Arabidopsis thaliana: one gene and its partners. The protein of the gene in region 3 interacts with the protein of the main gene of each other region in a pairwise test. Each region holds a gene or a part of one and is shown on either strand. Other genes may lie near its edges.

Region 1 (6,613 bases), on a different chromosome or scaffold from region 3:
GGCATAGAATCAGGCAACCGATTCCGCACAATCAAGGGTTGCAGAGTCAACCGGCACAGTCATTAAGCACTGTTCGCGACAGCGTGATCCAAAAGGATAGAAGTTCTTATAGGTTTAGCCTACGATCCCGAGTAGCCTCTTCTGCGGGAAATGGTATCAGCATCCGATTTAACAATGCTCAAGTTTCACAATCCAGTCACCATAGCTCTTCCACAGTGGCACCTACATTAAACCCGGAAACGTACACTCAACAACGCAATGTTCGTGATCATTGCACAGCGCTACCTGGTTCTCAGAGCAACGTGTTCACTCGACATGCAGACCAGAACATACGTGGTAGTGGAAATCGTCAGTTTCAGACAAATGTGGATCGGTTTGCTCCGTCCAAAGCTCCTCTTACTGCTGAAGATTCGCATACAGCTACGGTACAACAGCAACCAGGGATTAATGAAAACGTCTTGGAGACCAAACTATCGGAATTTGAGAAATGGCTAATGGAAAATCCTAACCCAACCGGCCCTGTTAGTCCGTTACCTGAACCGGGAAATCAAGACTATGCTAGTACGTTGTCATTTGATTTTGAAACATTTTTGAATGATTGAAAGATTCATAAGGGTAGTTTGTATCTCCGTCCCTAGGTTAACTCTCTTCACTGATTGTATTTTGTAGAGGGAGTGCTGTAGTTTATTACAATCTCGATTGTGTGTATCATTTAATTAGCTGCTACTAGTACATCATAAAATTAAGTCCTAAAAAGTACCTGTTTGCCAATTGACATAAATAATGTTTGTTGATTTGAGTTTTTTAAGGTCAAAAATCAAACATACCATCATTATCACTGCCTGTTTAAATGATTAGGGAGGGGAAAATATCCATGTAATGTAAAAGAAGACAATCAACAATCGAAAAGCGATAGATATAGAAAGAGGCACACACATATGGTCTTGATTAAATTTGATCAAACTTCTATTTTGCCTAATAGACAAATAGTCCAAATTTATCAAAACCGGAAAAACATTGTTATATTTTGGATCAAAATTACTTCTACCATCATTTAGTTAGCTTTTAATATTTTAGAAACAATTGAATTTTTGACCCAAAAAAAGAAACAATGGAAATAACTGATAAAGTCTTCTTAAAAGTATAGGAAATTTTGCCAAGTATATAGTATTAATTTTGGAAACAAACACGAAAATGGAATAGTTTTGAGAGTTGATACTTGTCATTTGTGGAATTATTACTATTACTTTTTAATGTAAAATATTTCGAAAATAAACTTTTAACAAAAGTAAAATCCGAAAATACTTAGTTTCCAAGTTTATAGAAATCAAGCCCAGCCCATTTGGGGTTTTTAATTTTTTTTTTTTTTTTTTTTTAAAAAAAAAAAAAAAAAAAAAATCAAACCCAAAACGATTCCGTTTAGTAGGCTAAAATTCAAGTAAGTCCCGGCCCAATAAGGCAACTAACGCCCAAAAAAGAAACGGTTTTGTCGATGTGACGGTAGCAAACGGCCACCAGTTTTGTCGTTTCGATGTGCGTGGCCACCACGCGCATACGAAACCGCGTCGGTGTTCGCTAACGCCATCATCATCGCCTTTTTTTTTTTTTTTTTTTTGCCTTTCTCCGAAAGCAGTCTCACTACGGCAACACACTACCCTACGCCCCCTTCCCACCATCAGCATTAAATTCTCTCTCTCTCTTCGCTTCTTCTGGTTTCGAATTCACTTTACTCTCTTCGCTTCCAATCTCTCTCTACCACTCTGATACCTTCGCCGGAGAAGAAGCTCTCGTTCTCTCTATCGTCGGAGAAGCTCTCGTTCTCTGCTTCCCTGCTCTGTACAGATCTCGAGCCGCATTTCGTGGATCTGTCAAAATCGCGTTAAAACCTACTCGCTTCTCTCTAACCCTAGGGTTTTTGAATTTTTTTCGGGACGAGGGAGAAATCAATGTCTGTGAAGCTTTGAGGAAGCTATATGGTTACACCTTTGGTTCTGGTTAGTCTTCGTTTTGATCGGCGGAGAGTGTTCGCCGAGGCTTGGTGTCTCCGTTATTGACTAATGGTGGTTTTTGATTTGAGATAAGAGATGCGGAACTTTGCGATGCTTCTGCTGTTAATTCTTCTTCTTCACTCTCTCGCCTCGTTTCCTATATGCTTTGGTATGAACTAGTTAACAAATTTCTTTTCCCCTTTTCAAATTTAGGAAACGATTTTGATAGGAGAAATTAACCTTTAGTTAAGTTGCTCTTACTTTGACAGCTCAAGATTAGTTGGTGGTCTATCTATATTTAGAATTGTTTATTGGATTTAGATATATTTAGAAGCTAATTTTGGTTATGTACAAAGTAAGCAAAAGAGTTTAGATTATTTAAGTTTGGAATCTGTGATTGTGAAGCGTGAGAGTGAAGATCAAGTCCTCACGTTTTGTGCCTTAATTGGCACACAACCTTTTAATAGCTAGAATGCACATAGATCTTACTCTTTCTTTTCTGAGTATCTTGAGGAAATATCGATTTTGTGTGACATTCTCTTGGCCAAATTTTATCCTCTACAGTTGGCATTATACTTTTAAACCCAAGAGAGGAGGATGGAGTATGCATACTATTAGAAACATTCTATTTTTTCGAAACTTTTCACTGCTATGAATATTCGACATGTGTAGAAAGAATCTATAGATGACTTATCAGCTTGCTTTATCATTTGCAGCTCGGTTATTTCCGATGAGTTTGCCATTTACCCGATCAAAGGCGCATCAAATGCATTTCTTTCATCCTTATCTTAATCCATCAGTTGCTCCTACACCTTCACCAGGTCAGTAAGGGAATCCTATTTGTCACCTAAACATAGTGTCATTATGTTTCTGTCTAGGAGTATTCATTGTTCATTGTCTTTCCCTTTTTAGCTTTTTCCCCCAACCCAAGTCGCATTCCACCACTAAGGCACAAGGGTCATCACCGTCATCGTCGCTGGCATTTAAGACGCAATGCCACTGCAGTGTCACCTTCGTCACATGGTAGTTCTTTTGCTTCTTGTTGGTTATCCTGCGTCCTATTATAGTGGCAACGATAATGTTTTATATGAATACTTTTTCTTCAGACTTCAGTTGATAAATCAAGCGTAGTAACTACTTTTTCCTGTGTATTTCCGGCTTTCCTTTTGATAGACTGTCAGCAGACATGTGTGGAGCCTCTCACTTCAACTCCCTTTGGTTCACCTTGTGGTTGTGTCTTCCCCATGAAAGTTCAGCTTCTACTAAGTGTCGCACCTTTTTCTATTTTCCCCGTGACCAACGAGTTAGAAATTGAGGTTGCTGCTGGAACATACTTGGAACAAAGCCAAGTGAAAATAATGGGTGCCAGTGCCGACAGTGAAAATCAAGGGAAAACAGTGGTGGATATTAACCTTGTTCCACTTGGGGAAAAGTTCGACAACACTACAGCAACACTTATTTATCAGAGATTCCGGCACAAGAAAGTACCTCTAAATGAGACTGTTTTTGGTGATTATGAGGTTACGCACATAAGTTATCCAGGTAAACTGATTTCATTCAGATGCAAGTTTCTACTTTTTTTTTGTTTTATTTCAAAGTTTGAACTTCTTAACCTTGCTTCAGGAATTCCTTCTTCTTCGCCAAATGGAGATGTTACTGGAGATGCTCCAGGAGGCCTTCCAATTCCGATCAATGCAACAACTTTTGCCAACAAAAGCCAGGGAATAGGTTTTAGAACGATTGCAATTATTGCGTTGTCAGGTTTTGTCCTCATTCTGGTTTTGGTTGGAGCTATTTCTATAATCGTGAAATGGAAGAAAATTGGGAAGTCATCTAATGCTGTTGGTCCGGCTTTGGCTCCATCGATTAACAAAAGGCCTGGTAATTTTCACCCTCTGACTTCTTAACGCTTCTATAGCTTTAAAAGAACCTGTTTCTGAAAAATTTATTCGCCTTGCAGGTGCTGGATCTATGTTTTCCAGTAGCGCCAGAAGCTCAGGCTCAGATTCTTTGATGTCTTCCATGGCTACATGTGCTTTATCAGTTAAGACCTTCACACTCTCCGAGCTTGAGAAGGCTACTGATAGATTCAGTGCCAAGAGGGTTTTGGGCGAGGGCGGATTTGGTCGTGTTTATCAGGGGAGTATGGAAGATGGAACTGAGGTTGCAGTGAAACTGCTAACTAGGGACAATCAGAATCGAGACCGTGAATTTATTGCCGAAGTCGAGATGCTAAGCCGTTTGCACCACCGCAATCTTGTGAAACTGATTGGAATATGCATTGAAGGTCGTACACGTTGCTTGATTTATGAGCTCGTCCACAATGGGAGTGTTGAGTCCCACTTACACGGTGACATATTCTTTTCTCTGCACTTTTAATAACAATATATCCCAATTATATCCATCACTTCTCGTTGCATCACCACCTAAAACCTGGCTTTCCGGTTGTTGACAAAACAGAAGGAACGCTTGATTGGGATGCGCGGTTGAAGATTGCACTTGGAGCAGCGAGAGGACTGGCTTATCTCCATGAAGATTCAAATCCCCGAGTAATCCACCGTGATTTCAAGGCTAGCAATGTTCTCCTAGAAGATGACTTTACCCCAAAAGTCTCAGACTTTGGACTGGCAAGAGAAGCAACCGAAGGAAGTCAACATATTTCAACTCGAGTCATGGGGACCTTTGGGTAAAATTTCTTTCCAACTCAAATATGATGAATACAGACACTCTGGACTTACAGTGACTACCCTGGAAATAATTTCAGGTACGTGGCTCCTGAGTATGCAATGACGGGGCATCTCCTTGTTAAAAGCGATGTCTATAGTTATGGTGTAGTTCTACTAGAGCTTCTAACCGGTAGAAGACCAGTAGACATGTCTCAACCTTCGGGAGAGGAAAACCTTGTGACATGGGCGAGACCCTTACTAGCCAACAGAGAGGGCCTGGAGCAACTGGTGGACCCTGCATTGGCTGGAACCTACAACTTTGATGACATGGCGAAAGTGGCTGCGATTGCCTCCATGTGCGTCCACCAAGAGGTCTCACACAGACCATTCATGGGTGAAGTTGTGCAGGCACTAAAACTTATATACAACGATGCAGATGAGACCTGTGGTGATTATTGCAGCCAAAAGGACTCATCAGTACCAGACTCTGCTGACTTCAAAGGCGATCTGGCTCCTTCGGATAGCAGCTGGTGGAATTTGACACCTCGGTTAAGGTATGGTCAAGCTTCGTCGTTCATAACAATGGATTATAGCTCAGGACCACTAGAGGACATGGAGAACCGGCCTCACTCTGCCTCTAGCATTCCAAGAGTAGGAGGTCTTATTCTACCAAACAGATCAGGTCCGTTAAGACCCATGCGTAGTAGAAGAAACTTCTTTAGACTGAGAGGAAGCATGAGCGAACACGGTGGACCGTCGTCGTCTAGACATCTCTGGTCCGGCAATGGTGACTGGCTCTGAGAAACCAGAAAATGTACAGTGAAGAAAAGGGAAAAGGAGGCTCACAAACTCTTGAGCTGCATGGTTAGGTTCTGGTTAATCCGGCCAGGTTCGGTTCATCTGGGTAAAGATTTCCGGTTTGATTTCTTTTAGGAGCTGTTTGTTGTTATGATTATCCTCAATAGAGATTTAATTGTTTGTTTTTGCGAGGATGCAAAAGCACAGGGAGGGTTGTATTTTGAAGGACGCCTGTATTTAGTTCTCTCCTTTTCTCTCTCACCCACAAAAAAACATTTTTATATATTTTATTTTAGTGAAGTTAGTAATTACCTAATTTTTTTTAGTTTTTCAAGTTCCTAAGAAATTTGGCTTTTGGTCATCGTTGTTAAGTTTCCGGTTTTCTGAATTTACATCCGAAATATTTTTTGGTTAAATAAAATTCTGGCTTGAGAGTAATTGGCTGGTGAATGGTAACAAGTCACTTGGTCAAAGCTGTTGTAATTCTTTTCTAATTTCTAGTATCTTCTGTAGATTGGACACAATGACATGGATTGTTGATCTTTAAAGTCGTAGAGTATAATTTGATATGTTTGTCTTTCTTCCTCCATATCTTCTTAATTCCTCCTTCCACTTCAGCCAAACCGAAGCTTGCTTTCGAGTTTCTGAGTCTTCTTCATTTTGTTATACAACACAGTCTAAAGAAAGAAAATCTGTAGGCCCAATAAACACAAAAATCGATTTATGGGCTAAGCAAACAACGGTCACAGTGGCTGAGTAAACGGAAGAGAAAAAAATATTTTAAAATTTTGAATTTAAAATTAATAAGGTCTTATTGGGCCTACATTATGAAACCTATCTAATCTCTCGAGATATAACAGTTGAGGACAAAACGCTAAAATCCGTTTGCGTTTGGTTTATATTGGCAAAAGCAAAATAATTTTTAATCGAGGAATATGTAGGAACGTCCGATTTAAGTATCTGACTGATCAGATCAACGTGACCAAACGAACCATGAAATGAATGCTACTGGAACCCAAAGTAAAGAACAAAGAAACTAGAATTGCTAGTTAGTATTCATAATATTAATAGTTAGTTTTTTAAGAAGTTAATTTTTTTTAATTGCTAAATATTTTTAATCAATAGTTAGTTTTTTTTCTTATATTATCAATTAAATATTTA
Region 2 (5,510 bases), on a different chromosome or scaffold from region 3:
TTGGTTTTTGTTCCAAAAAAATCTTTTTATTTATCCAATTAAGATTTTGAAAAATTAGTTTATTTAAAGTACATATATTAATTTGTTTTAAATATTTGAAGCCGTGATATGCAAGATTTAATACCACTAAATCCTAATAAGATATGACGAAAGAGAAAATCTTTTCTTGATATATTTTTAAAAAAGTCATAATCTTTTGTTCTTGTTGTTTGTTGTGTTAGACTGGATGCTGCAATCGGCCAGGGAATTGCAAACTAGAGACGGTCAATGCAACATTGTGGGTTACAAGAAATCGTGAAGGACCACCTTTGGAAACGGCAATGATCTATGATCGTTACGGTGGCAATGCAGACATAAAGGATTATTACGATATGTGGAGACACGAGTTAAGTGTGTTGTACTATGATTGTATGACTTGTCAGGTTAGGATCATTAAGTCTCCAAGGCTGCGCAAATGGTGGCAGTTCGGTGTTTTCTTATCTTCCCTCACCTCTTTGTTTAGATAGATCACAAATTCATAGATGATTTTGATCGAATAGATTAGCGATTTGGTTCAAGAGAGTTGTTATTTTTTCGTCTTTAGAATATATATAGATCAATAAAAAAAAGGTTACAAAGTTATCTTAATTAATTACCAAAAAAAGAAGATAACTCTCTAAAGTAGTAGAGAAGAGAAAGACTTCACCTAAACAAACATAGTTTCGTCTATAAATCATATCACAGAAAACAAACTGCCACAAAACATTTTAACAAAAAGGAAAAAAAATGTGACCACAGAGCGATTTGGTATTCAGTTTCTGGCTTCGAAGAAGTCTTCTTCTTTATCTACCTAAGAACAGATTATCATCTTCTTTGTTCTACCAAAAATCGTAAGGGGGAGGGTGATTGGCAGCAACAGTTTTACTCGCATTTAATCGACCGGTAAATGTGGCGGACGAAGAGGAGAGCAGCGCGGAAGCCAACGGTTCCAAGCATGAGGAAGAAACCGTAACAAATGCAAGCCATGTACCCGAAGAAGAAGGATGTTTGCATGAAACCAGACATGTCTGATCTTGCGTAGTAGTAGTATAAGCAGTACGCATATATAAACAGACCAGTCGATCCACCACATAGGAATGATCTGCAACAAAGAATATTAATAACTATAACAATGTAATTTTATTATCACCAATCCAATTCAAATTCGAATTTAAAATCTACGGAAGGATTTAGTAGATGTGCCTAATCAAGCCAAACTGAAACCCTACGTAAGTAATCAGTTTGAAACTGATACTAAAACGAAACACAAACCATAGCAATTCTAAGCTATTTGTATTTGGTATTATCATTTGGTTTTCTATATTCCATATACCAAAAACCGAATTAAAAAACCAGCTTGGGTGGAAAAATTTACCTCCACCACCATTCATGATCTTCAGCAGCGAGTTGGAAGTAAGTAAGGGCAACTGTTATAAAAGCAGTGACGATCAACAGGATGATGAAGACGATGAAGAGGATGCTGTAAATGGTATAGATACGATGGCCCCAAACACTGGCAAAGATGTAATATAGCTCGATGTAGATGGCACTGAAAGGAAGAAATCCAGCCATGGCCATCTGCGGTACAGCACTCCTGTACCATGGGAGTGGCGGGATCTCCCGAGGATACTTAGTGGTGCGGACTGGAGCTTGGAACTCAGCTTTGCTGTTTTTACCGGCAATACCACCCAACACAAGTAAAGGCGAAGTGACTAGTGTCCATATGAGGACGATCACTATGATGGTTCCAAAGGGAAGAGCGGCAGTTGCACTGTATGCGATTGCAACGGTGTTTAGGAAGCAGAAGGTGAGAAATAGTGGGCCACAGAAGAGACCTCCAGTTAGCAGCAAATTTCTCACCTGAAGAGGAAGAACGGTGAGAAATGAAAAGCTTATCACTTTAAGTTGAAAAGAGTAAAGGGAAAGGGTTTACATACCCAATTCTTTCCTTCGAGTTGACAGTAGAAAGAGGAGGCAGTGTATCCGGCAATTCCAGATGTGAGAGCATAGATAACGACCAAAGCAGTGAAGAGTGCTCCACGGTTGTATGGATAGAACACTCCAACAAGTGAAAGCATGAAAATGAAGATGGTCCTGATGACATATGAGGTATATTACAGTTAGTAATGGCAAAGAATAACTAAAGATAAACGAAGGAGGCTGAAAAGAGACTTACAGAGTGAACAACTGGGTACCGCTACCAAGAGATGCAGCAAAGAGAGATTTGTTCTTTGGGAACCGGAAGACATCTCCATGAATGTATTTCCATCCGGTTTCCTCTTGATCATCAGCAGCTTCCTCATCTTGAGCATACCTTTGAAAGTTAGGGGAAAAGTTAATGGTTGGAAACAAAAGTGTGCATCGGTGAGTCAAGCACAAAGAGTTAGCATTCAAAACTTACTTCATGAAATCATTCTTGAGGACCCGCATCAGGATGGTTGCAAGGAAACCAGTCAAAAGAAGGACAGTGACGCAGGAGTTAATAATGGAGAACCAGTGGATTTCCAAGTGATGTGGAAGAGAAGAAGACATAGCATACTTATCCATTCTTTTCTCAAAAGAAGTCTCAGTTTCCTTCCACTTCACAGTGTACATAAACTCAGCATCGACTTCCTTATCCTCAGTAAGATCCACAAGCGAATGAGGATCCATTCTAGCATTGATTTCAATCACCCGATCCTTATTGTACAAAATCTCAAACTGGATGTGTTTGTAGAGAAAATATTTAAACTCGCTAGGATCAGATTTGCTCTCTTTGTCCACCTTCCCAATGAATCCCCAAATAGGCAAATCATCATAATACATCTGAAAGTAATAATCTTTTTCAACAGCTCTTCGAAAGTGTTCAACTTCTTCTCTACTAAGCTTCTTTTTACAGTACACCTCTGAGTCTTTCTCATCTCTAAAGTTAAGCTTGTATGGAGCACTAACAAGCCTATCCCCATTCAAAACCTCACCAAGAGCTTCCTTCTTATCTTTCACACCCTCTACACAAACCAAAACAAATGCATATTGACACCAAAATACACAAATCCGAAAAAAGTGAAAAACCACACATAACAGAGACAACATTGAGCGTGCTCGTACCTGGAATACAAAAGGGGAGATCGAAATAGCGATACGTCTCACTGCAACAATCATCAAACACAAGTAAAAATCAGTCATATAACAATGCAATCGAAGATCTATCACATTTTAAGAACACGAATCGAATTTTTTCAAGGTCAGATACAAAAATTCAATACCAACGCAAGCTTCTACAGAAATTTGCAACGATCAATTTATCACTCATCAAAGAGAATCACAGATCTAAGCTACCGACAAAGGAACTGAGATTAGAGAATTGGATTTACCTGGGATTGTGAAAGGGGCCGACCTTGTTGGCGTAGAGAGGAACGGAGTCACCGTCCTTGTAACGGTGGTCGGAGGCATCGGATCTGACAGTACCGGCGCCGGAGAAGATGAGAGCTCCGATAAAGAGGAGCAGCGTCGTTGGTAATCTCATGATGATGTGTGTTAATGTGAGAGGAAGAAGAAAATCGTGAGATCTGAGTTTGCTTTATATTTTTGAGAGCAACGCTTATGGCAAAAGGACGATTATATTACTTTTATTTATTTTATCTCTCTTTTTAACGAATTTTCTTCTACTAAATGCTTAAGAAAAAATATTGCGAATAAAAAGCATTATGTAAGAAAATAAAATCTGCGACATTTTAATATTTTTTTTAGAAATTGAAATGATTATTTTTATATATTTTATTTTTGGTTGTTTTCTTAAATCTTCTAAACAAAATTCGTATTAATTCACAAAATTTTAAATTATTTAATACGTTTCGTAAGAAACTTGTGAATGGCAGAGGCAAGTGATATAAACTGAAGCAAATAAAACTTTCTATAATCGATATTTTTTGTTACAATTGTCGTTTTTTTTTTAATAAGTAGCAATTTTCTATTGGTAGAGTGATTCTCTCGTTCTTGTGCTTTCTACTATTTATAGGAGTTTTATTGCATTCCATGTGACTATAACAATCAGTAATGTTCTTTTTACTCTTTAACAAAATCATGATGATGAAGATACAAATAAAAAGGTGGTCAAAAGAAAAAAGATCAATAGTGCCTCGTTTTTTTTTTTCACAATAGTATCTCGTTTATGAAATTGATTAAAGCAAAGCAAGTAAAAAGTATTATCAATTGGAATATAAACCAAATTTTTTGTACATAAAATGAATGATGTAGTAATTTATATACCTGATTATCTTAACTAAACTCAATTTTTTGCAACCAAACCAGATAAATAAGAACACTATAAAATTAAGATGTTAATTACACAGACAATAATTTTATTTATTTATAAAGTTTATTTTTGTAACAGCTCTGATACTTATTGATTTTGCACCTTCTTTGATGGTGGTGGCGAATCATACACTCATCAGCGACCATGATATGTAATCCATCAACGAGTTCTCTCTGAATCTTCTCGCCTGGAACCAGTTTTCCAGAGCATAAACATAAGCCTTAGAACAAAACAAACATCTACTATCCCCTGAACTACTAATGATAGAGTAATCAATGTAAACTCTTTTCCTATTGTAGAATTTACCATTAGACAAATTATTATGCATGTTGTTAGCATCTCTACTCTTGAAAAATCTTCGTAAGCTGATTGGAAAATCAAAGAATAACAAACTAACTAACTAACAATCACTACTCTATAAGCAAATCTTGAATACCAATAGAGATTCTTTATGTTGGATTCTATCTTTGAGCATTTCATTAGGATCGACGGTTGGTCGATTAATCAATACTAACCCAAACAGTCTTTTAACATGCACACTTGATACCTTGTAGGTGCTTCTGGGTAGCATGAAAATGATAATTGGTGTTATTCTGATATGCGAAATTGAAAATGTTGTTGTGCATCAGCTAAGCATAATTGAAAGTTTAAAAAATATTATAAATTTAACGTGAAGAATTGAAAGGTATCAGATTAATGTTTTGGATCAGCCGAATAGAGTCAGGCTAATCCAAATTCTCAAATATTTTCGAAACCTTAAACACATCAAACTCCACGAAGTAAACACACTCACACACATATCAAAATCCACATTATAAATGTATTTTTGGTAGGCTAGTCGTCTAATTCTAAAATAGCCAATTTACATTTGCAATTGTTTATTCAAAAAAGTACAACAGTAAGAGGTCTTATCAATTAAATCATAAGAAAAATATGTCCCAAAATGTCAAAAAACCAACTACGAATATTTCTTTTCCTTTTAAGGCCAAACCAGGTTTTGGAATACTTATTACAAATAAACTCAATTTCAATAAATTCTTGTACACAAATTAAGCACTAATTTCATTGTGAAGATACCATAGTCACATTCACATCTATATGACATCAATCTATAAAATCCAAAACAAACTATATATTATATTTATATTATTTTTTTGTCATCATTATATTTCCATTAATTTATCTAATTCTGGTTCTA
Region 3 (3,049 bases):
TTTAGCATATAGGAGAGATGGAAACTCTTCTTTTTCCCAATGTTCCATCTATAGCGGAATTGTTAGATGACGCTGAAGTTGTTGGATTTGATGAAACAAAGGAGGAACGTTTTTTCTTTAAGATCATTTGCTGATTCTTGTTTCCTTACCTGAACACTCCACAACCAAGCTTTTATCCCAAGCTCTTTGCTTATAGCTGACTTAGAGGTTGGATTGTACAGGGAAAAGCTCGCAGTGATATGACTATGGAGGAAAGGTTTGGTGCAGCACACAGAAGGAAAATGGATGGGGCTCTCTGTTTAAGGAGGATAAATTGGAGGAGGCCAATACGAAATGGTTAGGAATCTCTCTTTCTTTCTAACAATTACGGTCAAAGTTTTGGTTTTCAAGGCATACTCAGCGACTCTGCCCGAGGCTCTTGCATCTCCTTTCGGCTCTAAAACAAAGAGCCTTAACTGGTTGATAGTGTTATCGCAATGGTTGGTTTGCCTTTTCTGCCGGAGTTAAAGCAGATAAAGAGGTATGAGAAGCTTAACAATTCAATTATATAAGACCAAAGTGAAAGATCACAACTCTCAATTCTCCTATGTCGGAATTGAATTTCTTATCTTATTACTGATTTGTGCAGAATTTACAAGGAGGAGCTAGCTTAGCTACTACCATGAAGATTTGGGGAAGCTGAGATGTTGCCAGGAGAAGTAAGCACAAACCAATAGTTGAGAGATATAAACATAAACAGCAAAAGAGAGACTCATAAGCATCAGGTCCTTGACGTCTCCTTTCTTCTTCTCTGGCTTCAGATTCTTCCCAATCTTCCCAGCCTCTGAAATCATCCTTCTCAATGTTCTCTGGATCACTCCTTCATTCTCTTCTGGTAATTTCTGCTTCCGACAAGACATCACTCTCATAGATCTAACTCCGTGTCTGCTTGAGGCTTGTCTCTTTGTACGGTGGTTAGTGCAGAGTGGGTGGTAGTAGAAGGTGGTGGAGAGAGCCGCCATGAGAAGATGAATAGAATAATTGAAGAAAGTTTTTTGTTTTGGGAATCAAAAGTGAGCAGGAAAATATCAGAATCTTGATAGCTTAACGACAAAAATGATTTGAAAAATGGGTGGATAGATCTCATCTAACACACACACATGTAGTCACAAGGTACACGCCAATGCAAAACCAAATTGGCCGAATTTCTATTCGGTTCGTTTCAACTAATTCGGTTTGTTTCGATTTCTAAACCGAAAACCCAAATTTTTTGATCCAAACCGATTCTGAATGGCCAGGTAATCAGGTATAGTCGGAAGCATCTACAAATTCACAACAACAACACATTATGTCTGACTGGTGAGATAAATGATGACTGAGTGGATAAGCAAAGAATAAAATAATGTCATAAAGTCAACAACATGTCTCTGTGACTCTATCTCTATCCTATTATTAGATTTAATCAGATAACTTTAAAATCTGGTTGCTGAAAAAACCGTATCTCATTATTATATAAATAGAGAGAGAACAGCCCCACGTAAACAAATAGCGATAGAGCAACTGTGTCGATTGTCCCAAATAATTTTAAAAATAATTTCACGTGTCCCCATTTTGCTGACGTCATTATTCCCCTTTTTCCTTTTTATTGTCACATCAGAATTTTTTCTAACTCATTCATTTCAATCAATCTTCTTCTTCTTCTTCTTCTTCTTCCTCAGAGAAATTCTGTGTTGTTGTATACAGAGAGATGTTCTCATCTTCTACACTCGTTTATTCTCTATCTCTCTTCCTCTCTCTTTCTCTTCTCTTCTTCCTCTTCATCCTCTCACCACACATCCTTCTCTCTTCCTCTACCCTCATTTCCACCGCCGATGACCTAGACGACCTCTCTCTCTTCCACCGCGCCGTCGTCTCTTCCTCCACCAACAACAACCGTCGTCTCATCTCCCTCTCTCCAAATCCACCCCCAAAGATCGCTTTCCTCTTCCTAACAAACTCCGATCTAACCTTCTTACCTCTCTGGGAAAGCTTCTTCCAAGGTCACCAAGATCTCTACAACGTTTACATCCACGCAGATCCAACCTCCTCCGTCTCTCCTCTTCTCGATTCTTCATCAATCAACGCTAAGTTCATCCCGGCGAGAAGAACCGCACGAGCTTCTCCGACGTTAATCTCCGCCGAACGACGATTACTAGCAAACGCAATCCTCGACGATCCTAACAATCTCTATTTCGCTTTAATCTCACAACACTGTATCCCTCTCCATTCCTTCTCTTACATCCACAACCACCTCTTCTCCGATCATCATCAACAAAGCTTCATCGAGATCCTCTCCGATGAACCGTTCCTTCTGAAACGATACAACGCAAGAGGAGACGACGCGATGCTTCCTGAGATCCAGTACCAAGACTTCCGTGTTGGATCTCAGTTCTTCGTATTAGCGAAACGTCATGCTCTAATGGTGATCAAAGAGAGAAAGCTATGGAGGAAATTCAAATTACCATGCCTTGATGTTGAATCTTGTTACCCTGAAGAACATTATTTTCCGACTTTGTTGTCTCTTGAGGATCCTCAAGGATGTAGTCACTTTACACTCACACGTGTTAATTGGACCGGTAGTGTTGGTGGTCATCCTCACACGTACGATGCCTCTGAGATCTCGCCGCAGCTGATTCACTCTCTGCGGAGATCTAATTCGAGTTTAGACTATTTCTTCGCCAGAAAATTCACGCCGGAGTCATTGCAACCGCTTATGGAGATTGCAGATGCTGTGATCTTTAGGGATTGAATTCGGTGAAAGTAAATTAGGTATAACACTGAAATCTCAATGTGTAAATATGAATACAGTTTGAGAGTTTAGTTTCAATTTGCTTATCTTCTTGTTATTGTGTTCAGGTTTCAGATATCATCATAAGGAAGGTTTAGGAAGAAGCTTGTGTTGGCGCTCGAAGAAGAGTGGCTAAATAAAGATGAACTTCTGTGTGTGTGTGTGAAAATTGCTGTGTTTTTTAAGCTTTTGTGTGTCTCTAGGGAAGGTAGAGATATGGGAAAATGGATGTAAAAAAGAATG
Region 4 (4,372 bases), on a different chromosome or scaffold from region 3:
TAGAAACATCATTAAATAGCATTCAAAATGAATAAAATTTGTAACAGTTAGTTCTTGTGTTAGTTTATGTATAGAAATTTTAGCGAAGTATAGTTGTTGACCCAAAAAAAATGTAGGAACATATATAGTTTTCTTTGGTCCCAAAACGAGTTTATTTTTTGTTCTTCAGTGTTGAACACTATTTTGCTCGAACATGTCTGGTCAACGTCCGACCAGCCAATTCCACTTCATAGTTTGCATATTAACGAACTTCCATCTTTTTGCTGATTACAGCTTTCATTATACCGTTTAGATTTTTCTTTTTTTGCCTAAATAAAAAAATATGACCCTAAACATTCGTAATTAATAGAAAACATTAAATAAGTACGATACAAAAGACTGAATCTCTATAATAATAGATTGAGACCATATTCTTGTGAGATAAATAAAAGATTGAGACCATATTCTTGTGACAATTGGTATACAATTAGGTTACAAATATTCTAATCCAAATTTAATTTCGAGAACATAATCGTGTGAGTAACGATAAACAATTTCATTTTGTTTACAAAGATATATGATATATTGCACTTTTTAAAATCTAATATGCTTACTTTTTTGAGCTGTCATTAATCCCCAAACTCCACTTTGGGATTTTTTTAAAAAGTCTAATTCAACGCGTGGGGCACACCGTGTGTAAACTTCGACTTTGAAAAGTTATAAACAGAAAATGATGTTTTTTAAAAAAACAGGGAAAAAAAGAGAAGTTTCTATTTGAAATAGGTTCAAAACCCACTGGCCAAGTACTTTGTTAGTGGCATGTTTATCATGAGAATATATTTGACCCGTCCCTTGTTTCAGTTTTGCTATTACGTTCCGTGTCAGTTAATTTAAAACTCTAATCATATCTTATTTGATTAAAGAATATAGTGATGATGAAAAGTTATATTTTGTGTACTTGAATGTTTGAGTTGGGCCTCGTCTATCATATGGCAATATCTCCTTTAAGTGTGTGAACGTAAATTACCAATTTCAAGGTCCTCCTCTTAACGTAAATTATCCCAGCTCTCAGGGTTTTTCAGCAAGGGAATAATATAACAATCTAATTAGTCAAAAATTGGATCAAGTGCTAGTAAATTATGCTTGGTTTACTAATCTTTCCTCATTCTTTTTTCCCCATTTTGATTTATGAGGATCACGTTTAATGTAAGGTTTAAATTTCTCAAACCAGAGCTGGTTGTCATCGTTTAAATGAATCTATATGCATGTATTCTATTCCATTAGAAATTATACACACGTAGTTAACTGTAATTAGCTATAGTTAAATCCGTACACACCGTTTTTTCCAGTTTGAATCAGTATAGTGATACATGATATAAGTATATAACATGCGTATAATCAACATACATGATTTAGACAAAATATATTATTATTCTAATTTTTGTCATATAGATTTTGATTCACATTATAAACTGTATATATTGACAAGAAAAAAAAAACATTTGACAAAAGAAGAAAATAATAAACATTTTTTGAAATCATGATTTTGAGGTGATAGTCTATTTATACTAATACTAATGATACTATGTGTCAATGCATCACTAATACATCTTCAGATTGAGTAGAAACCGTGTATATGGATTTAACTCTAGTTAAACAACAAGAACATACAAATTTGAATGTAATAAGCGTGTAACCATTTGACTTGAAAATAAAATACATATGACCAAATTGAAAATAATAATATTAAAATCCAGTGCAACGAAAAAAATAATATGTTAAAACAATAAAACCCACTCACTACTTTCTCTATATAAAGCCAAATGCTTCAACCAATCTTCTTCACACCTACAAATCTTCTTCTTCTCTCTCTCTCCCTCTTCCTCTGTCACACAGATATTGACAAAAACAAAAAGAATGAGTCAATCAAATCGTGTCAGAGACGAAGTTACATTACCTTTACTCCAAAAAACCTCTCATCTGAAAAATCACTCCTCTGTTCTCTCTGTTTTCCTAAATGAAGCAATCTCAATCTGCAAAATCTCTTACCCATTGGTCCTCACTGGTCTCTTCCTCTACGTTCGCTCCTTCGTCTCTCTGTCTTTCCTCGGTGGTCTCGGTGACGCCACTCTCGCCGGTGGCTCCCTCGCCGCCGCATTTGCAAACATCACCGGATACTCTCTTTTCTCCGGTTTAACCATGGGCGTTGAGTCTATCTGTTCACAAGCCTTTGGAGCCAGACGCTATAACTACGTCTGCGCGAGTGTCAAGAGAGGAATCATCCTCCTTCTCGTCACTTCTCTCCCTGTTACACTTCTTTGGATGAATATGGAGAAGATTCTTCTAATCTTGAAACAGGACAAGAAGCTCGCGTCCGAAGCGCACATCTTTTTGCTTTACTCTGTTCCAGATCTTGTCGCTCAATCTTTCTTACACCCATTAAGAGTTTATCTTCGGACTCAGTCAAAGACTCTTCCTTTATCAATCTGTACAGTGATCGCGAGTTTTCTTCACTTGCCAATCACGTTCTTCCTTGTAAGTTACCTCGGTTTGGGGATTAAAGGAATCGCTTTGAGTGGTGTTGTGTCTAATTTCAACCTTGTCGCTTTCCTCTTTCTCTACATCTGTTTCTTCGAAGACAAGCTAAGTGTTAATGAGGACGAGAAGATAACAGAGGAGACATGTGAAGATAGTGTGAGAGAATGGAAGAAACTACTCTGTCTTGCGATACCAAGTTGTATATCGGTTTGTCTTGAGTGGTGGTGCTATGAGATTATGATTTTGCTTTGTGGGTTTCTCTTAGACCCTAAAGCAAGTGTTGCTTCAATGGGAATTCTCATCCAAATCACTTCTCTTGTGTACATTTTCCCTCATTCCTTGAGTTTAGGAGTCTCCACCCGGGTCGGAAACGAGCTTGGTTCTAACCAGCCAAAAAGAGCGAGAAGAGCAGCCATTGTTGGACTTGGTCTCAGCATCGCCCTAGGGTTTACGGCTTTCGCGTTTACTGTCTCGGTTAGAAACACATGGGCGATGTTTTTCACTGATGACAAAGAAATCATGAAGTTGACTGCCATGGCTCTGCCAATCGTTGGTCTATGTGAGCTCGGGAACTGCCCGCAAACTACGGGATGCGGTGTTCTCAGAGGCTCCGCGAGGCCGAAGATCGGAGCTAATATTAATGGAGTGGCGTTTTACGCGGTTGGCATTCCGGTTGGAGCAGTTTTGGCGTTTTGGTTTGGGTTTGGATTTAAGGGACTTTGGCTTGGGATGCTTGCGGCGCAGATCACGTGTGTGATTGGTATGATGGCGGCGACGTGTAGGACCGATTGGGAACTTGAGGCGGAAAGGGCTAAGGTGCTCACAACGGCGGTGGATTGTGGCAGTAGTGACGACGACGCCAAGGAGGATATGGAGGCTGGGATGGTTGATAAGTAGGGAGGAATGAGTCATGAGGAGGTCTTTAACAAAAACAAATTGACTTTGTTTTGAATTAGTTGATAACTTTTTTCTTTTATTGAGAAGAGATTCGTTGGAGGATTAATGTAAATTTTGTAGTGTAATGATAACACAATCTAGAGATTCGTCGTTGTATTCAAGGTTTTTAAATTCATAAGGTCAAATTTTGCTCAAATCGCTTAAACCTTTCTTTATTCGACAGAATTCAGTTACATTGTATGTTTTGTTTAGTGTAACGATTTTTTTGGACGCAGAATAAATCTTGAGAAAATAAATAAACTAACCATTGACCTTACTGAAGAAAATCAATAACCATGGGATTGTGGGTGTCTTTGTTAATTCAATCAATATAACAAACTAAAGTAGCACATGCGGACGAAATGTAAAAATAATGGGGGATTTTTTTTTTTAATATGCATAAATAATTATATAACTATATTTAAATAACTGCAAATAAGGTGTGTACAAGGAATTAAATTCACATATGTATTATAACCATAGTCGACAATTTCAAATATACATGTTTGATTAATTAGCTTCTAGTGATGCTTCGAGGCAAAGTATATCCCTCTATGTGATAGATCATTTACACATCAATTTCTTCCGTGGTAAAATAAAATAGATAAAACCTTTGCGATTATTAAAAAAGCCATAACTATGGGATCATGGTTAGTTTGTGTTTTCTTTTACTTTGGAAACTCCTGATTTAAATAGAAAAACATTTAACATAAAAGAAAAAGCCTTTATTTACACACAGAAGTTTAGCCAATCACTTACTTCTTTCCAAATGCTGCTCACAAAAATAAGTTTTTTCATATTTTCATTAGGATAACGTCAAAAATATCATTTATTTATTTAATAAATCTTTTATCGCTAATTTTATTTTCTATTTTTTATCTTTTTAATATCGTTTATCGTTACATATAATAACTTTAGG

What was found.
Region 1: the proteins of AT3G52070 (region 3) and ALE2 interact in a protein complementation assay, tested with the Arabidopsis thaliana proteins (one large-scale study listed by BioGRID).
Region 2: the proteins of AT3G52070 (region 3) and AT2G01970 interact in a protein complementation assay, tested with the Arabidopsis thaliana proteins (one large-scale study listed by BioGRID).
Region 4: the proteins of AT3G52070 (region 3) and AT5G52050 interact in a protein complementation assay, tested with the Arabidopsis thaliana proteins (one large-scale study listed by BioGRID).

The regions. Positions count from the first base shown.
Region 1 is NC_003071.7:8,755,317-8,761,929, reverse strand, and holds ALE2 (Protein kinase superfamily protein), read left to right. Parts: upstream 1-1,631; 5' UTR 1,632-2,084; coding exon 2,085-2,157; intron 2,158-2,704; coding exon 2,705-2,809; intron 2,810-2,900; coding exon 2,901-3,011; intron 3,012-3,161; coding exon 3,162-3,530; intron 3,531-3,611; coding exon 3,612-3,869; intron 3,870-3,948; coding exon 3,949-4,338; intron 4,339-4,448; coding exon 4,449-4,674; intron 4,675-4,752; coding exon 4,753-5,455; 3' UTR 5,456-6,078; downstream 6,079-6,613. Other genes in the region: RIN13 (RPM1 interacting protein 13), read left to right, coding at 1-602. UniProt on the Arabidopsis thaliana protein: Required during the differentiation of the protoderm into shoots epidermis and cuticle.
Region 2 is NC_003071.7:451,297-456,806, forward strand, and holds AT2G01970 (Endomembrane protein 70 protein family), read right to left. Parts: upstream 3,664-5,510; 5' UTR 3,524-3,663; coding exon 3,372-3,523; intron 3,147-3,371; coding exon 3,106-3,146; intron 3,006-3,105; coding exon 2,420-3,005; intron 2,333-2,419; coding exon 2,195-2,332; intron 2,113-2,194; coding exon 1,956-2,112; intron 1,879-1,955; coding exon 1,394-1,878; intron 1,121-1,393; coding exon 901-1,120; 3' UTR 562-900; downstream 1-561. Other genes in the region: TET14 (tetraspanin14), read left to right, coding at 222-506.
Region 3 is NC_003074.8:19,310,705-19,313,753, reverse strand, and holds AT3G52070 (RNA/RNP complex-1-interacting phosphatase), read right to left. Parts: upstream 1,037-3,049; 5' UTR 1,002-1,036; coding exon 657-1,001; 3' UTR 530-656; downstream 1-529. Other genes in the region: AT3G52075 (uncharacterized protein), read left to right, coding at 334-507; AT3G52060 (core-2/I-branching beta-1,6-N-acetylglucosaminyltransferase family protein), read left to right, coding at 1,727-2,767.
Region 4 is NC_003076.8:21,137,037-21,141,408, forward strand, and holds AT5G52050 (MATE efflux family protein), read left to right. Parts: upstream 1-1,666; 5' UTR 1,667-1,896; coding exon 1,897-3,414; 3' UTR 3,415-3,840; downstream 3,841-4,372.